Drosophila melanogaster: one gene and its partner. The protein of the gene in region 1 purifies or fractionates together with the protein of each later gene. This does not show direct contact. Each region holds a gene or a part of one and is shown in the gene's direction. Other genes may lie near its edges.

Region 1 (5,354 bases):
TAATTCTCAGGGAGTTTCTCGCAATCGAGAGTCAATTAATAAATTAAAAGTGATGTGTATAAGATAGTCGTCGCTGCAAAGCCATAGATGAGTTGTAACTTCGCCAGATTTTCGCGACAGGCAGCTATCAACATGTACAAGCAGTCGTGCACCAATCTCCTGGAATTATCCTCCGCCAAGGTGACCGAGTGGCTAGCAGGCTTCGACAGTGTAATAACCGACTGCGATGGTAAGTCGGTGGTGGGGATGAGATACTACTAACTCGCACCCACCCAGGATTCCCCCCAGGAAGTTGCGTTACATAAAGATATGTGTATACCACATTCTGCCCAAATACGTCAGCAGCCAATAGTTTCTGTATTGTGGCTGCGTCGTTTATTTCAATGTCAAAGAGTGAAGTGCGTGATATGGCGGGAAGTCGACTTTCGGATGCCCTCATATCTTGTTAATCATCGTTATATTTAGTAAAGAGTAAAGCAGTAAAGAGCCGTTTGATAAATTCCCTAATGCTCATAGTGATGAGCCCTAAGTTTATTAATATTAGACAATCTTATCAATTCAAGGAAATCGTTATTATATACGCAATATCAAAAGTTGTGTTCAACCCCATTATTTATTAATTTTATGCAATAATGCCTTCTTTAATCATAACAGCTTTTATTTCTTTTCGTTTATGTATCTTTGCGAAGTTACCAATTTACTTAATTGGAATTAATTTCAAACTGTCCTCTTTGCCTTTGAATGATTAATTTATCAATTTTAGAAATAAATTACCAACAATATGAGTATACTTTTTGTAGATATTGAGAAATCAATAACGCCCTTTATAAAACTAGCAATGGCATTAATAAAACTAACAACTACAAAGTGAGAACCTATTTAGCACCGTTCTTTTTTTAATTTTAAGAAAATTCTTCTACAATATTAATCCATTTTTTCACATCAGGTGTCCTTTGGATCTATGGCCAGGCCCTGGAGGGCTCTGTGGATGTGATGAACCAGTTGAAGGGTATGGGAAAGTCGATCTACTTTTGCACTAACAACTCGACGAAGACCCGGTCGGAACTTCTCAAGAAAGGCGTCGAACTGGGCTTTCATATCAAGGAGAATGGCATTATATCAACGGCCCATGCCACAGCTGCGTACCTGAAACGACGGAACTTCAGCAAGCGGGTATTTGTGATCGGAAGCGAGGGAATCACCAAGGAACTGGACGCCGTGGGCATTCAGCACACTGAGGTGGGCCCGGAACCCATGAAGGGATCGCTGGCCGAGTTCATGGCACAGCATTTAAAACTGGACACGGACATCGGAGCCGTGGTCGTTGGCTTCGACGAACACTTCAGTTTTCCCAAGATGATGAAGGCCGCTTCCTACCTAAACGACCCGGAGTGTCTGTTCGTGGCTACCAATACGGATGAGCGTTTCCCCATGCCCAATATGATAGTACCAGGCAGCGGGAGCTTCGTGCGGGCCATTCAAACCTGTGCGGAGCGGGATCCTGTAGTGATCGGGAAGCCGAATCCTGCCATTTGTGAGTCTCTGGTCACGGAGAAGAAGATCGATCCATCGAGAACTCTGATGATCGGAGATCGAGCCAATACGGACATACTTCTTGGGTTCAATTGCGGCTTCCAGACCCTGCTTGTAGGTTCCGGAATCCATCAGCTGAAGGACGTGGAGCGTTGGAAGTTGAGCCAGGATCCCGAGGAGAAGAAGCTCATACCAGACGTGTACCTGCCCAAGTTGGGAGATCTGTTGCCGTCGATCGTGAACAGCCTGACGGACTTGAAATGAATCAGTAATCAGTAAATAGTACGGACATGTGTTTGTATAGATTTTACATTTAACTTCAATAGACAGGAAAGATTATTAATACTTAACGCAAATTTATAGTGCAATTTATACCACAGAACAAAGAATATTTAAATAAATTCAAAAGCATTTTGTGAGACGGATGATTTAACCGATATGCCCGACTCAATTTGTTTTTCCGAGCGAGCTTTGTGCGAAAGGGAGATAGCAGATTTTCCCCAATCACCGTGAATCGAAATCAGCCAGCCCGTCGCCGTCGATTTAGTTGAGTCGCAAGCATTTGGCGAAGCGGTCTACGAAGCAAAATGTCCAGAGGCGGTGCTATCGACTTGACCGGCCTATCCGAGGAGCAGGTGAGCGAGTGGCTCCAAAGTTTCGACACGGTTCTCTGCGACGGCGACGGTGAGTCTCAAGGGCGGCTAAGGTGCCACAGAGAGAGGGTTCATTGGGCTTGTGAGTGCTGCTATGGAGCTTTTACCAGAGTTGTCGCTTCACTGAAAAAACAGAGTATAAAATATCGATGGTAATTTACATGGGTAAGGGGAAAAGCTTGGCGATCGCGGTAGCTAAAAGTTTACATTTCATCGGCCTGCTACATCGATTGTTACTGTTATTCATTTTGTAAGTGGATAACTTTAAACGTAAAATCGTTAATAATTAGAAAAAGTTGATAAGGCTTAACGCTGCTGAAATCATTTTACATTTTTAGGAATATATTTATACCTGATCAATAGGAATATGTTTATACCTGAAAATCTCTCTGATCTCTCGCAGATCATTCCAATTTAATGTATAAATTTCCCATGTACTATTGGGCTTACCAAACAGAAATTTCGTTCGTAATTATTTTAAAATAAAGCCAAAACTCGTGTTAATTCCAATATTATTTAGTTACTTTATAAAATATATCTCTCATTTCAAACCTCTTCAAATGACACCAAATCAAATATCCATTAAACGCACAGGCACCATATGGCAGGATGACACGGCCATCGCTGGTGCTCCGGATGTGGTGAATGCCCTGCAGGATCGATTTGACAAAAAAGTTTACCTGATTACCAACAATGGCCTAAAGACGCGACAGGAGCTCTTTGAGCGCTCCCAGCGCCTTGGCTTCCATTTACCCAGCGACCGACACATCATTTCGCCCACGGCGGCCATCGCCGACTATCTGGTTGGGAGTCCGAAGTTCGACAGGACCCGGCACAAGGTCTATGTGGTGGGCAATGCGGCCATTGCGCGGGAATTAAGGCAGCGCGGAATCGACAGCTACGGAGCCGGCGGAACAGATGAACTGCCTCCGGGCGACAAATGGCCGGACTTTGTGACACGCGAGTTTGGGAACCCAGAGGCGGCGAAGGACGTGGGTGCCGTGGTGGTCGGCTGGGATGAGTACTTTAGCTACTGCAAGATGGCGCGCGCCTGTCACATCCTCTGCAGTAATCCCGACGCCGCCTTTTTGGTCACCAACCGGGATGCCGTGCACAAGTATCCATCCTTTTGTATCCCCGGCACTGGGGCCTTTGTGGCCGGAATCGAGGCATGTTCGGAGCGTGAAGCCCTCGAGATGGGCAAGCCAAATCCATTGGTCCTTGAGCCCTTTATCAAGGCCGAGGGACTACGTACCGAGCGAACGCTTATGATTGGTGACTGGTATGCGGGATTAACACATCCTTTCAATCTTTCCTAATGAGTTTCTCCCGTAGCCTCAAAATAGATGTCGGTTTCGCCAGCAATTGTGGCATGCTATCGCTTCTGGTGGGCACGGGTCGTTACAATAATCTCTCGGATGTCCGGCTGGAAAAAGACAGGCTGCCCCAGCCAGACTTTTATCTGCCCCGTCTGGGCGATCTGCTGAACATTTTGTGAGCCATAAATCCATGGGACTCTCGCGCAGCAATCTACTCGTTATCAACTTCTTAATTCGACTTTTATTTGGCCTTAGTTGATGTGTTTACACATAGTTGTACATATTGTATCTGCCGGCAAGTACAATAACATTCTCTGATGGATACTTTTTTTACATATATAGAGTGGTTGAGAAATTGCTGGGTCTGAAAGTTATCCATGAACAAAACTAGCTAATAAATTTTGGAAAGACGACAATGCATATTGCACAAATAAATCACTAACCATTTGCGAATATTCATTTTTATGTCCGTCCCCAAATAATTTTCAGGCCCAATAACTTTTCTTTGAATTAACAATATAGGCTGAGTGACTTATTAAAATACTAGCTTAACCTTCTATTACTTGCCGGGTCAGAAAAGCAGAGACGGCAATTTCTTACTCGTTCCTATATCTTGGTGATCCCATGTAAAAGTTGTAATTTGCAATGAACTAAACAAATTGCTTAAATAAGTGCAAGTTCCTTGTGCTGTGACTTGCAAATCAATTATCAATCAACGTTAACTATTTAAGACACACACATAATCGAAACTATACAACTTATTGGTTAGCTGTACAACAAATTTACAGGACACCCATCGATGTGAGCTGCTAATTGTCAAAACAAAGCAAGCAAGTATCACAGAAGTTATATTTTTGGCGGTTTGCTTCCGTGTAAAATTGAAACAATCAAACACCTGTTTTCGAAAGTTTTTTACGATATTTTGACTGTTGAAGCACGACATTTTCGTGAGTGTCCGTTTTAACAAGTCCTCTGATATGTTAGAGTTGAGTTCTGTTTTCTGTACTTTAGCAATTTAGCGCGAAAAGAAATCCCATAAAGCGGTGTCACATTTGGTAGCAAATCAGAATAAGAGCGTAACTGAATCTGAAAAGTTAAACCCATCCCCTGCTTTTCCCAATCCCCCAACTGATTTTCCCCCCACGCCTTGTCTTAAGCTGATTTTAAACGATGCATGTGCAAAGATTTTATAGAATCGCAGTGTTTAAATTCCGCGACTCTGCGTATGCATCGCTTTCCATCAGCTTTAGTTGTAAGTTTGCCGCCGGCGATCGCTTAATGATTTCTTCGAGGACCCTGTCTAAATTGCTAAAAGGTAACATCAGGTGCTCGCATCCGGCGTGTTGGCCAAAATCCTTGAGCTCCTCGACAAGTAGCCGTACCAGTAGAACACGTTGATAAGGATGAATAGCAGTGGGAAGACGATCCTCGAGGCGCGATCGATCTTCGACACGGAATTGTACTGTGGCGTTCGTTTGCCCTTCCTTCGGGCCTCCATCTCCTCGCGTCGATAGTAGGACATCCTGCGGCGACCTCCAGTTGGAGGACTAATCCGAGCAGCCTGTGCAGCAGCTTGTGCCGCCGCAGCTGCCGCAGACGTGGTCGGTGCTTCGTTGGCCCTTAGCTGCGTCTGCTCGTCATCCTCATCCTCGTCGGAGTCGGCACGTGGCGGCTTTCTTCTTCGCCGCCAGTCGAAGAGACCCAGAAGCTTCATACTCCACAGACCATGACGCCTGTTCCGGGGCCTCCGATTCCTGGAGGTTAGCATGCCCAGCCGAGTGGGAGGCGGCGGCATGCTAATAGCGCACATGGACAGCGGAATGACTTCGTAGATCTTGGACTCTGTGCT
Region 2 (3,626 bases), on another chromosome or scaffold:
TTATCCCAATAAAACTAGTAATATTTATTATGCCCCTATGGTTGAAGCCACAATGGAAAATTTCAAGCTCAAACAGCGCGTAAAGCGGCACAGTTTTAGCTTCACTGGGGCAACCCACTTGAAAACCAGGCTATCCCACGTGATTCGAGCAAATCATAAATGTTGTGAATGTGTTGCCTTTGTTTTAATCACATTTATGGCTGTTTTCAATTTAAATTTCTTTAGCTTTATTTCGAACCACCCTTCAAAATAGCATTAAATTCACAGTAAGAGTTCCGTGAATGGAAGTGGCTCCAAATAATTATCAAGAAATCATAATCAAGTTATTTGAATGGCAACTGATAAGAAACGGCACAAAAACAAAGCCAACAATTATTTCCCTTTGTGTGCAATAAAATGTTTAGAAACGATCCAATCTCATTATATTCTCATCGATTAGCTGACAAAATCATGTTTCCCGGCGTCCCAGTTTTTTCCGTTTGCATTGCACTTAGTGTGATGATTTTTTGTCATGCGGAGGTAAGTTAAATAGGCGCTCAAAAAGTATACCAATACTTAATCGAAATAAACAAAACCCTCGACAGACGCTGAATTTGTTTGGAAACTTGGAGGCTATTTATGAACAGGCAGAAAATGCACTCTCAACGTAAGTTTCAAACAAAGAAAGTAGGCCTAAGCTTACTGTTTTACTCCCCAGTTTACAAGAATCACTTTTGCAACTTGAAACCAATGGCACTCTAAACACATCCCCTGATGTGATTTATCCAACTTCCTGTCTGACTTCTGGGGATCTTGAAAATGGCTTGCACACCCTGAAAGTTCCAGGCTTGAGTCCCTTTCAAGTGTATTGCGAAAATCAGTTGGCTGGACCCGGTTGGATTGTAATTCAAAAGAGGTTCAGTGGAAATCTGAGCTTCTTTCGCAATTGGAAGGAGTACAAGAACGGATTCGGCAATCTAATGGACGAGTACTTCCTCGGCCTCGAAAAGATTCGTGCCTTGACTGCCCTGGAGCCGCATGAGTTGTATGTACACCTGGAGGATTTCGATGATACAATTAAGCATGCGAAATTCGATGAATTTGCCATTGGAAACGAAGATGACGACTACGCCATGAATACACTGGGAAAATATTCGGGCACTGCGGGAGATTCCCTCCGCTCACACCGCAAAATGAAGTTCTCCACATATGATCGGGATAACGATCATGAGTTTAATAAGAACTGTGCATTTTACTATCTGGGAGGATGGTGGTACAACGCATGTCTGGACAGGTGAGATTACTGTCGGATAAACTTTCTCAAAACATAATCTCACAACTTTGTAATTATTCAAGCAACCTTAATGGTCAGTATATGCCGGGTGGGAAATACGAGGAGAGCTTGTTCGCCAGAGGAATGTGCTGGCGATCTTGGCGTGGCCACAACTACGGATACAGGGTAACCCAAATGATGATAAGACCCAAGTGCCGAATGATACCAGTGACTCAGCGGTGAATTTGGGCAAGGCGGTTTCACGAATATTGTTATTATTATTAGCTGTTCACTCCCTGTTGGTTTCAATGGCTTCGAGAACGTGAAAACAATTTGTTATGTACTTGATTAATATGCAAAGGTTGTTCCATTGAATCATCGCATTCTCGCCGAGCACATTAATCAGAATCTCAATTAGAACTGCGAAATATACTGTAATTCTCATGTTTAGTTGTCTCAACTTCCTGATCTACTACCGCTCAAGGCGAACTTGACCTACGATTTGTCAATGCAATTGATAAGTCAATCGAACTATATAGTATCGAAATTGATTTTCAAGCTATACAAATCTATCTAATCTAGATGGGTTGGAACAAGGCACGGAACAAGATCATGAATCTCTATTTGTTGTGTGTTTTAATTTTAAGCGGTGGCAGCCTCTTGTCTACTGCTCAAAGCAATAAATTGGATCTAGTCTATAAGAAAGCTGAAAGCATGGTTTCCAGGTTTGTGACACAAAACATCGTAGAGCTTTCAAGTTTAAACTATGTATTTTTCAGTTTAAAGATCAGGCTGGAAGAGCTAAAACAGAGCTACAAGGAAATCACAGAAGAAAGAGGCAGTCATGAGAGTAAGTTCGAGCTATTTTGGCTTCTGATCTTCTACAAAAATTAAACTAATTACATCTTTTCGTAATCGTCTAGCAGCAATTAACCCATCCTCCTGTCTAGCTGCCGGAATCAACAGTAATGGCATCCATGTTATTGAAGTTCCGGGTCTGGAACCTTTTCCGGTTTATTGTGACACTCGGCTGGCGGGATCTGGATGGACTGTAATTCAGCGACGACAGGATGGCAGTGAAAACTTCTATCGCTGTTGGGAGGAGTATAGCCAAGGATTTGGGGAGCTTAGCGGAGAATTCTTTATGGGTCTGGAAAAGCTACACTTCCTAACAACCGCGGAGCCTTACGAGCTGTTTGTCTATATGGAAGATTTCAATGGAGTGGTACATGATGCTCGATACGAGGATTTTGCCATTGGGAATGCATCAGCGTCCTATGCGCTATCTGTTTTGGGTAAATACTCGGGAGACGCCGGTGATTCGTTAAGGTACCACAAGGGAATGCCCTTCTCCACATTCGATCACGATGATACGGGTCACGGATGCGCCAGGATTTATGTGGGGGCCTGGTGGTATGATCAGTGCCAGAGGAGGTAAGAATATGATATGATATCTTCAAATGAAAAAGTCAAACAATTATCTTCGCTAGCAACCTCAATGGCCAATATTTGGAAGGAGGTCGATTCGAGCCGAAGATGTCGGGTCGTGGAATCACCTGGATGAGCTGGCGTGGCTACGACTACGGCTACAAATTCGTACAAATGATGATCAGACCCAAGTGTTCCAACAACCTACGAAGGCAGGGCATGCAAAATGCCTTAAACGCCCATTGAATTCCACACCGAAAACACCGAAGGGAAATCACTTTATTTCTTGATAAACACTATCAACATTTTGGGACTTTTATTTACAATTTGATAATAACCGTTTCCCGCTGATTTGTTTGTTGTATTATTAGTTGATTTTTTTTTTCAAACGCTGCTTTTCTACACGCGCACGTAAACAAATTGTTCTCTTCGTTTGCGAATAGTCTTTGTTTCTCGTCGAGGTTTTCGAGTGGAACGCGCGTTGCGCTCAGTTCGCAAGTTGAATTCCAACTGAGGAGCTCCAACGGCCGCGCATGCGATGCCCCAGCTATAAAATTCAAACAGAGAAACCGGAGGCCTGGGGAGAGTCTCCAGCGAGAAAGAGCCTCGGGTAATGAGAGATATCGGGGGGAGCGAAGTGAACACATTGATAAAAATATATTCGCGGGGGTCTGACGTCACAGATGGGAGCTCCATGGAGGCCTATGGAAATGAGTGACTGCGACAAAGACCAGAAGCCCAGACAAAGGGAGACCACAATTGCAGACGCAGACCACACTTGTCATCAGTTCCACTGATGATGATGAGAAGAATCTGCAGATCCGCAAAAGAAATGCTAAACCGTAAGACTGCCGGGCAGGGAAGGCGAAACGTGTGAAAAACCCCGACTGGGCTGTCTTGACTCATTATTGTGGCACAGTGGAACAGATCGGCTGGAAACCGGCAG

What was found.
Region 2: the proteins of CG5577 (region 1) and CG30281 purify together in Drosophila melanogaster (affinity purification with mass spectrometry, with the first as the bait; one large-scale study listed by BioGRID). This does not show direct contact.

What each region holds. Positions count from the first base shown.
Region 1 is NT_037436.4:17,838,150-17,843,503, reverse strand, and holds CG5577 (uncharacterized protein), read left to right. Parts: upstream 1-2,076; 5' UTR 2,077-2,120; coding exon 2,121-2,217; intron 2,218-2,780; coding exon 2,781-3,468; intron 3,469-3,521; coding exon 3,522-3,684; 3' UTR 3,685-4,826; downstream 4,827-5,354. Other genes in the region: CG5567 (uncharacterized protein), read left to right, coding at 88-229, 947-1,797; Grd (glycine receptor), read right to left, coding at 4,827-5,354.
Region 2 is NT_033778.4:22,113,147-22,116,772, forward strand, and holds CG30281 (uncharacterized protein), read left to right. Parts: upstream 1-1,850; 5' UTR 1,851-1,864; coding exon 1,865-1,977; intron 1,978-2,031; coding exon 2,032-2,102; intron 2,103-2,178; coding exon 2,179-2,686; intron 2,687-2,742; coding exon 2,743-2,926; 3' UTR 2,927-3,043; downstream 3,044-3,626. Other genes in the region: CG30280 (uncharacterized protein), read left to right, coding at 451-519, 585-646, 698-1,273, 1,336-1,495.